Mus musculus: one gene and its partner. The protein of the gene in region 1 purifies or fractionates together with the protein of each later gene. This does not show direct contact. Links are inferred from orthologs where the notes say so. Each region holds a gene or a part of one and is shown on either strand. Other genes may lie near its edges.

Evidence for each region. The genes of interacting proteins can lie anywhere in the genome.
Region 2: the proteins of Gli3 (region 1) and Btrc purify together in Homo sapiens (affinity purification with western blotting, with the first as the bait; 3 studies listed by BioGRID). This does not show direct contact. The link is inferred for Mus musculus from reciprocal best matches to the Homo sapiens genes GLI3 and BTRC.

What each region holds. Positions count from the first base shown.
Region 1 is NC_000079.6:15,462,168-15,466,614, forward strand, and holds the start of Gli3 (transcriptional activator GLI3), read left to right. Parts: upstream 1-1,555; 5' UTR 1,556-1,944; exon of another isoform or gene 1,945-2,451; intron 2,452-4,447. UniProt on the Homo sapiens protein: Has a dual function as a transcriptional activator and a repressor of the sonic hedgehog (Shh) pathway, and plays a role in limb development.
Region 2 is NC_000085.6:45,510,173-45,513,819, reverse strand, and holds part of Btrc (F-box/WD repeat-containing protein 1A), read right to left. Parts: intron 1,176-3,647; coding exon 1,079-1,175; intron 434-1,078; coding exon 296-433; intron 1-295. UniProt on the Homo sapiens protein: Substrate recognition component of a SCF (SKP1-CUL1-F-box protein) E3 ubiquitin-protein ligase complex which mediates the ubiquitination and subsequent proteasomal degradation of target proteins. Recognizes and binds to phosphorylated target proteins.

The DNA.
Region 1 (4,447 bases):
GGGGCCTGGGGCCAGTTACTGAGGGGAGGGTTGGGGCTACCTCTGTTGATATTCCTGCACTCCGAGATGAGTGAAGGATGTTTCACTCTTTGCCTTACAGAGTGTTGTAGCGGAGAGAAAGCTTAAAAATGGCTAAGAAGTGTCTGGAGCCCCACACTGAAAGCTTAAGTCACTCTCTGCTTTTGTCTTTGTCATAAGCAACAAGTCACCAGAAACAAATAACGAATACACTGTCAATTCCGTTAAAAATTTTCCCCAGTTTAGCACGTGAATTTCAAAATGTTCTTCAAATTATTATAGCTATTCATCCACCCACTCTGCCTTCAAGACGGCTGCCACAGAGCACCCTGAGCACCAAGGCACTCCTGGTGGGCCAACTGCTTACTCCGGTATTCTGGAATGTCTCTTGGGTTTTCTTCTTTCTTCCACCCCCTTGAAATCCTCCCTTTCAAGTAACAGGTTGGGGTGAGTACCTGGATGGGGAGAGAGAGATGAGTGCACTGGCCCGTTGAAGTAACATGGGTCTTTTAAAAGAAACCAAGGACAGGCACTCTGCATCTTAAGGAAAAGAACCCCGTGCAAGTCAGGGTTCTCAGCTCAAGTCCCGGTTCCCAGCTCGGGTCTTTGTGTTCTTTGCAAAGTGGCCCACGGGGACAGTAGGCTGTACGGCGAGACGTCCCAAACGGAGTTTAACGCAACGGGGAGGAAAGTCTTCAACTTTCAAAAGCATCATCCCGCGAGAGGAAGTTTCAGGCTTGGCCTAGGGAAAAGTACCAGGAGGTGTGCGGGGGTGGGGCAGTGGCGATCTGAGAGGTCTCTAGAGAAGGAAGGGGAGTCCAGCCCGAGAGCGGAGTTGGGGGGGGGGGGGGCGAAGAGAGGCGGCATGGGCGAAGCGCCCGGCAGCGCGCGAGCCCCGGCTGCTCGGCTGCGCGGGAGCGCAGGCCTGGAGGGCTCGGGTGACATCACCCGCGGGCCCCTTCCTCCTGCCGGGTGGGTGGGGCCTGGCGCGCCGCGCGGGCGCGGGGTCAAGGAGGGGGAAGAGGAGGAGCAGGCCTGGATGTGTCTGTGTGAGGACCCGGGAGGGGCGGAGGCGGTGGAGCGCGTGGCTCCCGGCTGCCCGCGCCAGCCCTGCCCGGCCCGACGCGCGGCCTCAGTGCCGCCCCTCAGCGCAGCGCCCTGGGATCCGCGCGCGCGGAGCGGGACCCCGCCGGGCGCGGCCTGGAAAGGAGCGGGAAAGCAAAGTAAGGCGAGCAGTCTTCCCAAGTTTTTAAACCAACTTCGCCCCCTGCGGCGGCGGCGGCGGCGGCGGCGGCGGCGTCGTCCCGCGGCTCGGCGCGTCCCCCCCAGCGCTCCTCCGAGTGGCGGAAATTAGAGGGACGGGGCGGGGGTGGGGGCGCGCGAGGGAAGAAGGAGCCGGGAAGGAGAGCAGAGTCTGACCACATCTGTGAAAACTTGGGGAAGGAGGGCGGGGAGGAGGAGGAGCGCAGGAGCGCGCGGAGGGGAGCGCGAAGGGCGCGCGCGGCGGAGCTCAACTTTTGCAACCGGGGCGCTCGGCCTGGACGGGCCCTTAGTCGTTGAAAAGTCGACTTGACGGTCGGGGGGCTCCTTTCTTTCTCTTTCTCCTCCCACCCGCGGTTGAACCAAATCAGAACTGTCACTCAGGGCCGGTGACTCAGAGGGATCAGATTACAGGATCCCTGAAACTGATGCGCGGGCTGCAGCGGCGGGAGGGAGCGGACCGGGCCGCACCGCCGGCGCCCGCACACTCGTCCGCCCGCCCGCCGCTCCCCTCCTCGCCCGCTCGCCCCGTCGCCGGCCCACGCCACACCATGCCCGCCGGGGCCGCACGCTGGGATCAGTCAGGCCATCCACGGTAGCCCGAGTCCGCCTGCCGCTCCGCCGGCGCAGGTCTGTGGATTTGGGACCTGACAGCCAAAGCCGCAGGTACGTCCCGCCTGAAGTTCTTTGTTTTGCGGGCCCCGCAGCCCTCCCTGTCGAGCTTCCCGGCGGCGTCGGAGCGGCTTGTGTGCGCTCGCGCCTTCCCGCGCTCTCGGGGATCGGGTCTCGGCTCTCCGGACTGCAGAGCTCCTGCCCCAGGGCGCGCGGACCAAGTTTGCAGCGGCGGCGTCCGTGCCTACTTCTCGCCAAGTGCTGCGCAGAGCTCCGGGAGTCCGGAGCTGCGGCTGGTCCTCGCGCCCCCGCAAGCCGCAGCTTGGCTTGCGCGCAGCGCCTGGGGATGCGCCGAGCCGCCGCTGCCCCGCTCTCCAGGGTCCCGCCTTCACTTCTGAGGGTGGGGGTGCGGGGTGAGCGGATGGAGGGCGCGCCTCCGCGGTGGGAGAGGAAAAGTGAAAGTTGTGCCATCTGTGCGTGATTTGGAACTCTGTCTCTTCCTTTCCAGAGGTAGAGCAGAAAGAAAGAAAAGAGAAAGAAAGAAAAGTAGCCGTGGCCCTTGCGGTAACCAAGAGGCCGAATTTGCACAGAGCAGAGTTGGGTACGGATCACTCTACTCTGCTGGGGACACTTAACTTTCTGGAGTTGCAGTGGGACCCCGAGGATGTGGCAGAGTTAATATTGATCATACATTTGAATAGTTGGTGAAGCGACTTTTCAGCAGATGGCCACATGCCCTCACACTCGGCCCGGCCTTTGCTTATTATCCTTTGATGAACTTAGTATCCTTCTGTGAACTTTGTGCCTGTGTCCCGGAGTGCACCTTTTTGAGTACCAAGCCATACCCCCCCTCCCCCCAGGCTTTCTTGGCTGTGTGTGTGTAAAGACCACTTAGGGAAGTTTCCTGCACCGCGTTTACCCTTTCTCCTCCCCCAACTTGGTTGTAGATTCTGGCCTTGGGTACAGTGCTCATGGCCCTCTGCCAGTTTATATGTACATATATTTATGTAAAACATTTTCTCCCAGCTCTGTGCCAGCTGTTCCACATTTTCCAGCTGCCACTTCAGTTTGAAATGATGGACTGTCGTCCTCAAGTAAAAGAACTCTTTAGTCCGAGGTATGGAGGGCCGGCCGCTGTGCAAATACAGGGGCAGTGCCATTAGCCCCGCTGGTATTATTAGTTCCAAAAACACCTCGTGCCCTTCTTTTCCTCTCCTTCTCCTCCTCAATTACAGCTTTTCACAGCCCAGTACGTGCACTCTGCTGAACATTCAAGTGATTAACCCCCCACTCCCCTTTCTAAATGATTTTGTGCAGAACTTGGATGAGGCCGGCAGGCTGGTTAGCTAGCTTGCTTCTCTTTTCTTTCTTTCTTTCTTTCTTTCTTTCTTTCTTTCTTTCTTTCTTTCTTCCTTCCTTCCTTCCTTCCTTCCTTTCTTTCTTTCTTTCTTTCTTTCTTTCTTTCTTTTCCTGAAATATGTGTCTGGTGGAAATAACTTCTAGAAAAAGAGTTGCAGCTTGAGAGCATTGGGCATGGCTGGGGGAAGGGGAACTGTGCTCTGCCATCTGAAATAATCTCATTTTAGTCTATTTTAGGGGAAACCTTTCCTTCGTTCTCATGTCACAAGCTTGCACTGTTTGATGTCTTCACGAGTTATAGACTGAATTCTTCAAGAACTGGCCTAAAGTATTAATTTTGAGTATTTATGTAATTGCTCTGTAATTTGAATAGGTGCCTTATTGATTGATTCCTGTAATTATTTCATTTGGGTTTTAAATTAAAAATTAATAATAGTCTGACAGTTTCTTAATTACACGTGTCAAGATTATTTTGAAGCAGGAAAATGCTGTTTTAAAATAGTGAAATAACCTCAGAATCACTTCATTTTTCTAAGGCAGCGCAATAGAGGATATATTAAAGCAGTGGAGATTGGTTTTAACAATGTAAACTGTGCAGAGTATCTACAGAATTTGTTTATGTTAGGAAATATTGGCTTTAACAATCTGGTCCACGAGCTCTGTGGCCAGTTAGATTATAGTCAGACCTTAAAACAAACATGAAATAACATTTAAATTAGCTGAAATTGCATATTTATACAGAGCAGAGAGTTTATTTTACACTAAAAGCTATTTAATTAGAAACTCTCCGCCTAAGGGGAGATCCTTTCAGGGTACGTAATTCTTAAAGTCAGCCTAGGGAAGGCTGGGTTTAGCTGCATGAATAAGTTCAATGTGAGAGGTGTCTGCTGAAATTTCACACAGGCAGAAACACTTTAAAAGATATAGATTGCTTTATTGCTAATAGACTGGCAGGCTTAGCTCAGATGCCTACCAATTCCCTGTGCTTTTTACACACTCCTTGATTGAACTCCAGTGTCCTTACAGTTTTTATTGTATGTCTAATTTGCAAAGGAGAAAATTCAGCATTGATGAAAAATAACTCTGTCGCGTTATTTCATTGCTTACTTAATGAAAGCATTGTTAATTTAACAATTGGATTCCAAGGCCTAAAAGTTGGACTCTCCTTTGTTTTGAAGCCAGTGAAGTTTTCTTAATT
Region 2 (3,647 bases), on another chromosome or scaffold:
CTTTTTCATCAAGGTGGAAGAGTAGCCTATAATTACGAAGGCCCAAATAACAACAGCTCCCATCAGCACACTTCTAGAAGGGAGTCCAACCCTGGAACTACACATTTGTATGATCCTGTGGGGAGAAGCAGACATTTGCCCTTTAGGGAAATGATTTTGGCTTTGGTACTAGAACCAGTCTACAATTCCCACTTCCTAGAAAAGAAACCACAATCAAGGCCAGGCTTCAGACTGCTCTATGAATGTGGTCACCCTCGCGCCAACAATGCTCCTCCACTGAAGTGGGTCCAGTCACCTTGATGGTGTTGTCTCGAAGGCCGCTGACTATCTTCTGGTCGTCGTACTGTAAACAGTAAACCCCTTTACTTGTTTCACTCCGGCAGTGGATTCTCTGTAAACTATGTCGCCCACATCTCCAATTGGACTCTATTGTCTAAAGAGGAGGATTCAAAGAAGCAGTTAATTAGCAAAGAGGCAAACCAACAACTCAGTGTGTGTGAGACTCTATGGCCTGGTTCTCAGCCTGTGGGTCTACGGCCCCCTGGGGCCTGATCAACCCTTTCACAGGGGTTGCCTAAGACCACTGGAAAACAGACATTTACATTATAATTCACAACAGTAGCAAAATTACAGTTAGGATAATGTTTTATGGTTGGGGGTCACCACAGCACAAGGGCTGCAAACAATAATTAGGAAGGTTGAGAACCACTGCTCTATGGGCTACATACAACTAAAACACTAACAGGTGGGTACCAAGTCGAGCTGCACACCCGCCCAGTGGCGTCTCAGACACATCACACAGTACTCATGCCCGCTGATGACCTTGCTTGAAAGCTCATCAGCGAAGGAGTACAGACATCACTCTGCCATTTTAGGAAAGCTGCAATCCTTCTCCACAAAGGTTTTAAAGCTGTACAAAAATTGCCTAGGAATTTTCTACACTTTATCAACCTTATTCTAGTAAAGATATGATTGTAACTTACACTGAAAAGTTTAATGGGTTTTCTATAGTGCTGTGACTTAAGCATACTCATGATTCCCTACCACTTGGCAAATGTCTGGAAACATTGATTCTTACCTCAATGTCTTGTATGATTTTAGGATAAAGCGCTCTATAAAAGGAGTTGGGAGGAGCGTTCTCATCAGGAGGTTTGTTTTTGAATAAGTACTGTCCCCTACAAAACAAATATTTACCAATGAGAAGGTCATGAATCCACTTAGAAGCAGCTTTATACTTTTTCAAAGTGTTTCAGCTACCACCACACAGAACTTCCATTAACTGGCCTGGCAAGGCATGAGGGTCAGGTGATTTTGGGAGTCCTGTGTCAAATGTTAACCTGGAATCTAAGGAACTGGACCAACATTGACTCCAGTGCAGAGCCTCAGAGTACCAAGCCCTTTGGGATGCTTCAGACTGATAGTGTGCTCAGAATCCGTCTACTGGTCTGTTAGGCTTCTATACATTTACTGACTTTATAATTTGACAATAATGGCGACTCTTCTGGTTAATAAGAACTATTCCCTTCTCTCCCTTGGGGCTGTGGCTTGAACCCAGAGCAGCGTGCGCAACGGGTACAGTAGCTACTCTACCGGTGTGCTGCCGTTGAGCTGCACAAACCCGAGTCAAGCTGTACCAGTGGCAGAGGACACCTAGCATGCTGGGTCACAGCAATGATTCTGTCATGATCGAGCTGTGCTATTTATCACAGGGTAAGGCGTGTGTGCTGGGCGGCTGCTTGGTCACCAGGGCTATTCCTGGTCACTCTGGGAGTCTTCCAGAAGAGCCAATTCAGTCCATACAACAGAAACAGAGGACTGCATGCATGTCGAACGGCAGGGAGGGAAGAGGTGAGGAGAAAGGCTAAGCACACCGTGCCATTATATGTGAGGCAGGAAGCTCAGAGGTGTGTTCCTATATGCACACACAGATGCATTTCCTGACTTTGATTCCAGCATGCAGCATGATAGCATCTCCTTCCTTCTGACAGCACATTTCTGAACGCTCACATCCCAAGCTAGATTGATACCAAAAAAAGAAAGAAGGAAAGAAGGAAAGAAAGGGAGAAAGGGAGAAAGAAAAAAAGGTAACTGGCAATCACTTCCTGCTGGGTAAAAAATTTAATTCCTTATCCTGAAGTTAAGAACCCACCGAACACGGTGTGGAAGCTACTAAAGCCCACTATGGGTGTGCTAACTGCTGTTCTCACTGGCATCGTGCCCTGCAAAGTGGAGACAGGCAGAAATGCCTCTGAGTGTAATCCTGGCACCAGAGAAATCATGTTTTCTCTGGGCCAGTCATCCACTTGTGCCTCTATAGCTCCATTACAATGTAATTAATTGTTCAATGTCTCCAGGAGAGCTTCTCCCGTGCCCTCTCCCTATTATACACCTTGAAAATTAGCTGAGAAAATCTCTATCAGGAAGGCAGCTGGCTCTGATGGCTAGCTTAACAGAGAAAAGAAAATTCACACTGGGGAAGTGAAAAGAACAGGTTTTTTTGTTTGTTTGTTTTGAAAGGACTATGAAATAGGATACACCAACATAAAGAGCAAGTAAACCACTTTGAGAAATAATTCTGGATTAATGGCCTCCGTCTCTGAACAGTTTGATTATATAAACACTTTGCATGCAGATGAGATTTCTGTTGTTTTGCAGTGCCCACCATTCCTGAGATTCTTGTCTTCCTCTGAGTCTTTGTCATTACTATAAGGGTACTCTAGGATTTCCCTCACATCCAGTAATAGTTTCTCTGTATCCTCAGATAACAGGACTCAAATGACTCTCTAATCTTGTTTTCTAGCCCACTGCTTTTCCTATGCCTTACAAACATACATCTCCAAATCAAAGATGCTAGAGAGACTAGATATCGAGAACCAGCTTCTTAGTCTCTATCTGTTTTAAGTGATACTCTTTTCTGGTGTCTGTTCTTTGACAACAGGGACCACTTCTAGGAGAAACGCCTGGTACCTAGGAGAATGTGAGTGCATGATAAACGTGAAATATTAAATTTAGAATGTTATCATAAAATGTGATCTCCTGATTAAGAAAATGGACTTTTCCCAAGTGGTCTTTTATCATCCTTTTAAGAGTTACCATTACTGAGCAGAAAGTATTATCTACTGTTATTTAAGAGAGAAAACTGCAAAGTTCATGTCCTAGGGGCAAACTGTCAAATCCATCTGGGTATGAAATATAATAGCAAAATGGAAGTTAAATCTTGGTGACTCAAATTGTTCACGCCTTTGATCCCAGCACCAGGAGGCAGGGGCAAGAGAGACTTTCAGAGTTTGAGGCCAGCTTGGTCTACAGAGTGAATTCTAAGACAGCCAGGGCTATACAGAAAGATCCTGTCTTAGAGAGAGGGAGAAGGAGAGGGAGCGGAGGAGGAGGAGGAGGAGGAGGAGGAGGAGGAGGAGGAGGAGGAGGAGGAGGAGGAGAACAACAACAAGAACAAGGAGGAGAGGGTGGAAATAGGGAATTGACCCTAAATTCTTCCTTCTGAGTAAGGGAGAATCCCTGTACTCAGAAGATGAGGCTGGAGGCTTGAGAGCAAGCTGGGCTACACAGCAAGGCCCTCTCTCAACACCACTATCACCCTGAACAGAAAGACAATAAAAGAAATGGGAGGGAGGTACACCTGGTATTAC